Linked DNA regions of Schizosaccharomyces pombe. The protein of the gene in region 2 interacts with the protein of the main gene of each other region in a biochemical or structural test. Each region holds a gene or a part of one and is shown on either strand. Other genes may lie near its edges. The genes, in order: alp6 and mzt1.

Region 1 (5,708 bases), on a different chromosome or scaffold from region 2:
AATTGTACCATCATATCCACCACTCACAAGTCTAGTAGCACTCATCCATGAAGCAGTACGAACATAATCTTCATGTCCAGAAAGATCATACTGAACGGCACCAGTTGACAAGTCCCAGACCTTTACAGTTTTGTCATCGGATCCAGAGAGAAACGTGGTATTGGCATAAGGACAAAATTGTGTAACATGAACTGGAAACTGATGAGCGTCTAAAGCACGCAAAATACTCCGAGTTGACAAATCAAATATCTGAAAGTACATTAGCAATCAATGGCAACAAGAAAACCTCTAAAGTAAGTTTAAAGCGTTGACAAACACCGGAAAAATGGTATTTTTTTAGCTATATACTAGCAAATGACAGCTTCAATCAGCTAAACTAAACTAACAAAATTCCATGTGCAGCTTATCAACGTTTTAATTGCAACTATCTTTCAAAGCTTTTGGTAATGTAGACTTACCTGTACAAGTCCTGTAGCATCTCCTGCAAGCAAAAGTTTTCCATCCTTTCTAATGTTACCAGAATATGCGGTATCCTTAAATCGAGCAATTGTTTTTTTAACAGACCTTGAACTAGCTCCATAAATTTGTACACGAGCCCCACTAGTTACTGCAAAGTCATAAGGGGATTCAGCGGAAAAATGAATACTAGTGATAGCACTATATTCCTTGGCAACGACAGGAACCTTGAATGACCGCCAAAATTTATTTTCAGCAGTAACGGGATTAGGTAAAGCAGCAAAACGCTGAGGTTGAAGTCTACCAGCAGGCGCGGACATGATATCCGTATATGTGGTTGCTGAAAAAAGTTAACCAAATGGGTGGGTGGTGTTGGTGGTTGGCAAAGGCAAATTAAACAGCACCGCTGAACGATAGTTAAATCACATTAAATATTAATAACTAAATTTATAGTTTACTACGAGTAATAAAAGTTTAAATAATCATGCATGAACCTCATTTATTGACTGGTAACATCCTTATCATGACGCCGTCTATGAGAAACGTAGAATTCGTTATAATTGAGACGAACGGAAAGAAAGCGCATTTCTGGGTCCTTATGGGAAGCTAATCCATGTAATAATTTTTGAAGTCGAACCTGGAATTCCTCAGTAAAATTTGAGAGTTCATTTTTTATAGGGGTGTATTGAGCTGCCAAAGCATCAGTCGAAATTGGTACATTAATGCGAATTCTATTCGACAGGGAGCAAGAAAAGTTATACAACAACTCAATTGCATCATGAAAGTTTAAGATAACTTTAAGTATATCATGAAGCTGATGAAGGAAGGAATCTTCATTCCTTGACTTACCACCACCCAACAAGCCCTTATGAGTTATACTAGTAACATATTTTTCATGTGCCTCTATATACGTATCCAATGTAGCGTTTGGTTTCTCCATAGCAAGCTGTAATTCTTGCCAACTAATTTCGATAACCTGTTTCCAATGGTTAGTATACAATGCAAAATTGGGTTTTGGTTTTTCGTTACCTCAAAGAGTATATAATATTGAAGTTGACAAACAAAATGAATCATTTCCGCAAGATGACAACTGACAAAATGCCATTCGAATTTTGTGTAATCCAGATTTCTGAAGACATTTCGCTCGCCCAAATTTACTCGCCTCCAGGAATGGGCAAGGGCAAACTCAATTCGTTTCAACCTCCATAAAAAGTTAAATATTTTTAAGTATTGTCTAGAGCAATATGGTGTTATTATTACGTTGATAGGTGAATCAACTTTATACTCCAACGTAAAAACATCCCAACCAGTTTCACCATGTGAAAGCTCCAGAAGCCTAGCATCCAATCTTTTTAATACGTATTCAGGTTCATAAGATGCATTACTTGAACGAATGGCGCTTTCTAAAGAAGCAGTCAAATTGTGTCTGAACAAAGTATTAGCCGGCTGATCCAAAGAATTACCAAGGCTCTCCATTAATAAGTCCACAAAATCACCTTGTCCTAGTAAAAGGTATTTTTTGATAGCCTTTAAATGATCAGTCAAATGAAACACCTCTTCCATCAAGTATACTAAGTGATTAATGGACTCAGTATACGCCTTATCAACCACTGTTTCTAATGAATGAGGGTCTCTATAACTAAGTTTTTTCACTAGCTTCTGGTAATGCTCTTGTGCCCAGTCAAAATCACCACATCCATAACGTGCGAAGTTTAAACTCTTTCCAATCAAAAAGATTTTGTCGACAAGTTCTTCAGAAAGGAAACTTGGTATTAACTCTTTGTCTAAAAAATATTTACCTTTCCAGACGACATCACCTTGCCCTTGATGATCATGGCTTTCACTACCATTTTTTTCTTTAACAAAAAATTCTTGATAAGGGTCGACCAATTCTCCTTTATAAATCCAGTTTTCAATCATTTCGTATAAAGGTCCAGTAATTTCTGTTAGTATTTTATCACTCAATTCTTGTATTAGCGGATCTCCATGCACATTGTATTTCGAAACCACTTGAATCAATCTTTTTTTATTCTCCTGGTTCATATTATCATTAACAACTGAAGACAAAATTCTAAGTTTTAGCTTGGCAACTTGCGTCCAGGCAATGCAACGCCGGATAGTTACCATAGGCTTCTCAAGTGAAGCGTCTGCTCGAATTTGTGAATCCAGAGATGCAATTAACGCAAGGAAATTAGTCAGCTCTTTAGAAATGACCGATTTTAAACTTTGTAAAGCTAAAGACTGATCGTTTATAAATGCTTTACTAACGTTATCACCATCAATGGATTGACTGACCGAAGGATCATAATTGCTGAAAACCTTTAGTTCCTGATATAATAAGCCTGTCTCTGAAAGAGCTCGCATCTGTAAAAGGTATTGGACAGGTATTCTCTTAGACAACAGCGCTAATTCATTTTTAAACTGAACATATTCGGTAGAAATTCCTTGAAGTACGTAAGATATTGAAGACAACAAATCGGCTTCTGTAATCAAAGTATGTTGAACAGAAGAAGTTTCAGTACTACGGTTTAGCCTAGATGAATCATGAGCAATTGAGATAGAACTTTCATTTTCCAATCCTTCATCCCAATCAGTAATTTGGGGGTTTTCAGGAACTTGATCGTAACGTGTCTGACCAAAGTTTGAGGATTCCACTTCTGTTGATGGAATATTGATAGGATTGGAAATAGACTCATCTAATAAATGAGAGGAGACATCTCTTGATGACTGAGAAATAGGAGAGAGCAAGTATAAGAAATAGAGTATTTGAGATTTGTTGTGAATGACCGTTTGACTTTTCAAACGCGAAACTAAGTTAGATAATTTAGAAAATAAAGCATCATTGTTTTCTTCGGGGGGAACTAAAAAACTGTTAATTTTGGTATTTAGACCTTCACATACTTTTTGAATATATTTTGTACAGAATGTCATCAATGTCCAGTTGAAAAGTATCAGGAGAAATGCTAACAGTTAGCATGATCATTTACACGAAATTAGCTTACGAGTGAATTATTTCCTGAAAGAAAGACACGATCGTTTCAATTGTGTAAGGGACAGAAGGGTTTTTGGAGTTCTGTAAATACTTGTCCGCCAGACGTGATAATGCAGTTTTCACATGAATCTCCGACATTTGAGAACTTCAAATGACGAAAGTATTTTTTTTATTTTTGAATTAAAATAGAGAAATACAAGTATTGATCGTTAACTCAAAATCTTAAAGCCATTGACAAAGTACACGCCGAAGTCGCGGTCAGGAAATAATGGTTAGATGAATTTACGCATACACCTATTTTTACTAGTGATTTTTTTTTAAATTAAATGATTGATTTTATTTCAAAAAGATTGAAATTAAAAATATTAATGCACATTAGATTAGAAATTCAGAATCTCGTTCAACGATATTGGTTTTCTCACAGCATTGGAAAACCCATCGTGAAATTTGATATTGATTGCATGCTTGATGGAAACTGGATGATCTCCTGTATTCAAAGCTGCATTATTCGATGTAACTGCTTCAGATTTTGGTTCAGAAATGATACGGCCAAAAAAATCTCTCTTAATTGCTTTTCCGGAATTAAAATCTTTGCGCTTTCTTGAAGAATTCGAAGAAGTGGGGTTGTCCGTTAGGGTTTGTTTTTTAATGTCTGCGAGCCTTTTCTTGAGCAGTTCCTGAGATAGCATTTGACGAACAGAATATGAACTTGTAGGTGCGTCCCAAACCAATTCATCCAAAGGTCTGTCAACGTTAGCTATTACTAGAAAGAAATAAAAATATTGGAACTTACGGCTCAAGCCTATACACATAGTTGCCATCTCCAACGGGAAGCTGTTGGAAACGCAAATTATAATGATTTAAAATGTTAATCGCATGCTCAATTTTAGAAGGTAAAGCGCTCCTTGGCATAGAATCTTCTTTCTATAAAAAGTTAGTAAATTAAAAAAATATTGTTTCACGCAATTTTTTTTTTTTTTTTTTTTAAAATATATAGACCTTACCTGTTTTAGTGTAGGATTTATGGTAATTAAAATTGTACGGATAAGTTCCAAAAGAATTGATCTTTCTCCATGCATTTGATTTTCATAAGCATTTAGCGTCGATATGAATGAATCCAATATTTCTTTGCGAGTACGATAAAGTTTTAAAGCTTCCAAATCACTTCTGGGAGGATGCGGAAGGCGGCACTTTTCAGGAGTTGCATACAAATAATGAAAATGAATAATGGAATAAGGTATGTACCTCCATAACTCATAATTTCCCTTATAACATTGTGAATGAAGTTGGTCGAAAAAGTAAAGCCACTCGCTTGTCAAAGCAGGTTTAGAAAGTAAGCTATCAGTAAAAGGAAGATCTAAGTATGTATGAAAACAATTCATCAAGACTGATTCAGAATCATTAGCTCCATCAATCCTTGCAAGGAGGGCGTCCAAATGTGAGTAAGTAGGTTGCGATGCTTCAATTGCACGTATTTGTTTATTATCAAGTTGTAAAAAAAGAGATTGGATTAAACTAGAAGTACTAAAAGAATTACTTTTTGGTTGCAAAAGCTTTATGGTCTCAGAATCTATACGTTTGTTATTTAAAGACAAAAGTTGTAAACTGTTGATACAGCTTCGAATGTCAGAATTATAGATATCTGTCAGCAAAGTCAAAGAGCGGCTGTCAACAGCTATATTTTCATTTCGGCAAATAGTCCTTAAACGACCGACAAGAGATGCTTGAGGAGGTGGTCGAAAATATATTATTTGAGCATATGGTCGCAGAGGTCGAAGTGCTGGAGTATATAAGTCATTACAAATGCAAATAATGGGACGACAAAGTTTCTTAAACTTTTTCTTTTTCTTTGAATTACCAGCTTGAGAATACTCAGTCGCTTTTTCGTCACTCTCTAATAAACTCAAAAGTGCTCGTACGAATGCAGGATCACCTCCGTCAATTTCATCAACTATAACACATGTAGGTTGAGATGACAAGGCTGAATGATTGCTAATGGCAGAGGATACCTTTTCATGAACCGTATGAGCAGTACGATCATCACTAGCATTTATTTCCAAAACTTTGTATCCAGCCTGATGAGCAATAACATGAGCCAAAGTCGTTTTACCTGCACCTGCCAGTCCAGTCAGCATCATAATCCGTTTATCAGGTCTATCACTATCAGAAGTGATATTAGTAAATCTGGGGTTAAAACGCATACTCTTTGAGGGCTGTAATCGAGATTTTCCAAACACACAAGGATCCCAAGCTTTTATCC
Region 2 (2,665 bases):
TAAATAAATCAATTCTAAAAAGATGTAAGAGGAATTGCATCTTCAAACAACGTGTTGTGAATATACAAATGTTTACTAATAGATTGAACGAATGTATACCATTCTCTAGGGGATGAAGGCATGTCAGTTTTATCATCACGATTCCAACATGTGAGGTGAAATGGTTTAAATGTTTTACGTAATCGCGATTCTTCATATTCGCTGCATGAACAATGCAATCGCTTTTCAAACAAATACACTGGAACATGAAATGGATGATTGGGCAAAGTTATGGATAGCGGTAGAGTACCTCCAAAGGAAAATATCCCTCCAAGCTGGTATTTAGTAGACAATTTATAACAACTATATAAAGCAACCATAGCTCCTTGACCAAACCCGAAAAAAAATATTCTAGAAGATAATATACCGTAAGAGAGTAGATTGCCAATTAAATTTGAAATCATCGTAAAACTTTTAGAGAAATCGGCTTCAGATTGCAGTTCCCCGTTTTGATCAAAATGGACATCCTCTCCCCACATCCAATTGCCTCCAGGATTTTCAAAATCTAATGGTAATCGATATGGTCCACGTAAGGAAATATAACTAGTGTTGGGCAACGGAACGTTCTTTGCCATATTTGCAAAACTCTTGTGAGAATCTCCAAGTCCATGCATTAAAATAACTACATTGTGAACCTTGTCTTTCCCTTCAATAATCTCTGCGCATGCATTTGAAGGTAGAACACTGTTTAAAGAAGACATTAGATAAAAGAAATACTAAACCCCGAGGTCAACTATTGAGATTAAACTTCTTGCCATTAACTTGGTTCTGTGTCAACAGTTTGTTCCTGAGCCATACGTATTTCCCGAATTATTTGAGCTATTGCTTCTGGGTGTACGTTGTTTTCACAAAGACTGATGCAGAGTGAAAGCGTTGTTTTATCAAGTTCAGTTCCAAGCAATGTTCCTATTTCGTATAAAACTTCTATTGTCTCTTTGGTAGATTCAGACATAAAACTCGATACTTTATAATAAACTAGTCTAATTATATATACTTCGTAACAAGTTGGTAATGTTAAGTTTACTGGAATAGGCGTCTCGGAGTAGCTCATTATAATCCTCTAAGTAATAAACAAAGTACTTCGTGGTGCATCTAGCTTGTGCTTGTAAAACGAAACCGAAAGTAGGCTCAACCTCAGATTTGAGCAGTCAAAATATTGATGAAATGTATCCTCTCAATGCTAATTCTTATACTCTGCTACGGAAATTAGGATCAGGTTCATTTGGGGTTGTCTGGAAAGCACGTGAAAATGTGTCTGGCGACATTATCGCTATTAAACAGGTAAGACTAATTAATTTTTACTCTTCTTTAGTATCACAAAAAACTTACAGTTGCAGATTGATTTAGAAACAGGTATTGACGACATTACCGACATCGAACAAGAGGTATTTATGTTATCGAATTGCAACAGTTCCAATGTAATTCAGTATTACGGTTGTTTTGTTGACGGATACACATTATGGATTTTGATGGAGCATATGGATGGAGGATCAGTTTCGGGACTTTTGAAAATGGGAAGGTTGAATGAACAAGTAATTTCAATCATTCTTCGAGAGGTCCTTTATGGGCTAAATTATCTTCATGGACAAAACAAAATCCACAGAGATATCAAAGCCGCCAATATACTACTATCTTCCTCTACCGGAAACGTAAAGCTTGCTGACTTTGGAGTTGCCGCTCAACTTTCGAACGCTGCTTCGCGTAGACACACGTTTGTTGGAACGCCATTTTGGATGGCACCGGAAGTAATACAACAAACAAGTTATGGTTTAGCTGCTGACATTTGGTCTCTTGGAATTACGGCTATTGAAATGGCTAACGGAATTCCGCCCCGCGCTACAATGCATCCAATGCGTGTCATCTTTGAAATTCCTCAATCCGAGCCTCCAAAGCTAGATGATCATTTCAGTCCAACATTCCGTGATTTTGTGTCCTGCTGCTTAGATCTCAATCCTAATATGCGATGGTCAGCTAAAGAACTCCTTCAACACCCATTCATCAAAAGCGCAGGAACTGTGAAAGACATTATTCCTTTGCTTGTTCAGAAGGAGAATAAATTATTTGATGATTCGGATCAAAGTGTATTGGAAGAAACCATAAATAATACTTTAAAGCCCTTTGAAGAACCAATTGCTGAAGGAAATGCTGACATTGAGGATTGGACATTTGAAACTGTAAAGAAATCTGACTCAACTGTGTTAGGGAATACTAGCATTCCTAAAAATTCCATCATCAGTTCACAAAATAAAGAGGAATTGCCTTCATCAATAAAATATTTAGAGAAAACTATAATGAGTGATCAAGCGACACCGCATCCTTTTTCCAAGTCATTGTCTGAAAAAGGTAGCTCTTATCATAAATCGTTGACTTCCGATTTTGCTATGAAACATTATATTAAGTCCACCATACGATCGATGTTATTAAATGATAAATTGTCAGCAACGCAGCGCTCATCTTTAGAATCTTTTTATACATCTTTCATTTCTTTAGATAAAAATCTGTCCTCAAAATTTGTTAACCAAATTACTCCAGACAACAGACTGCATCACAAAAAGCAAAAGCGGAGCCCCATATCACAACTACTATTTTCACGGTGGCTTGAAGAAACTGAGAAAAGAAGAAGTCT

What was found.
Region 1: the proteins of mzt1 (region 2) and alp6 are reported together in a solved structure, tested with the Schizosaccharomyces pombe proteins (one study listed by BioGRID).

Annotation. Positions count from the first base shown.
Region 1 is NC_003423.3:480,121-485,828, forward strand, and holds alp6 (gamma tubulin complex GCP3 subunit Alp6), read right to left. Parts: upstream 3,709-5,708; 5' UTR 3,587-3,708; coding exon 3,459-3,586; exon of another isoform or gene 3,420-3,458; coding exon 3,358-3,419; exon of another isoform or gene 3,318-3,357; coding exon 1,486-3,317; exon of another isoform or gene 1,433-1,485; coding exon 956-1,432; 3' UTR 828-955; downstream 1-827. Other genes in the region: U3 snoRNP protein Utp15, read right to left, coding at 1-249, 459-776; Ctf18 RFC-like complex subunit Ctf18, read right to left, coding at 3,829-4,192, 4,242-4,372, 4,453-5,708.
Region 2 is NC_003424.3:1,984,554-1,987,218, forward strand, and holds mzt1 (putative mitotic spindle organizing protein Mzt1), read right to left. Parts: upstream 1,056-2,665; 5' UTR 992-1,055; coding exon 797-991; downstream 1-796. Other genes in the region: SPOM_SPAC9G1.08C (phospholipase), read right to left, coding at 15-740; PAK-like GC kinase Sid1, read left to right, coding at 1,204-1,320, 1,377-2,665.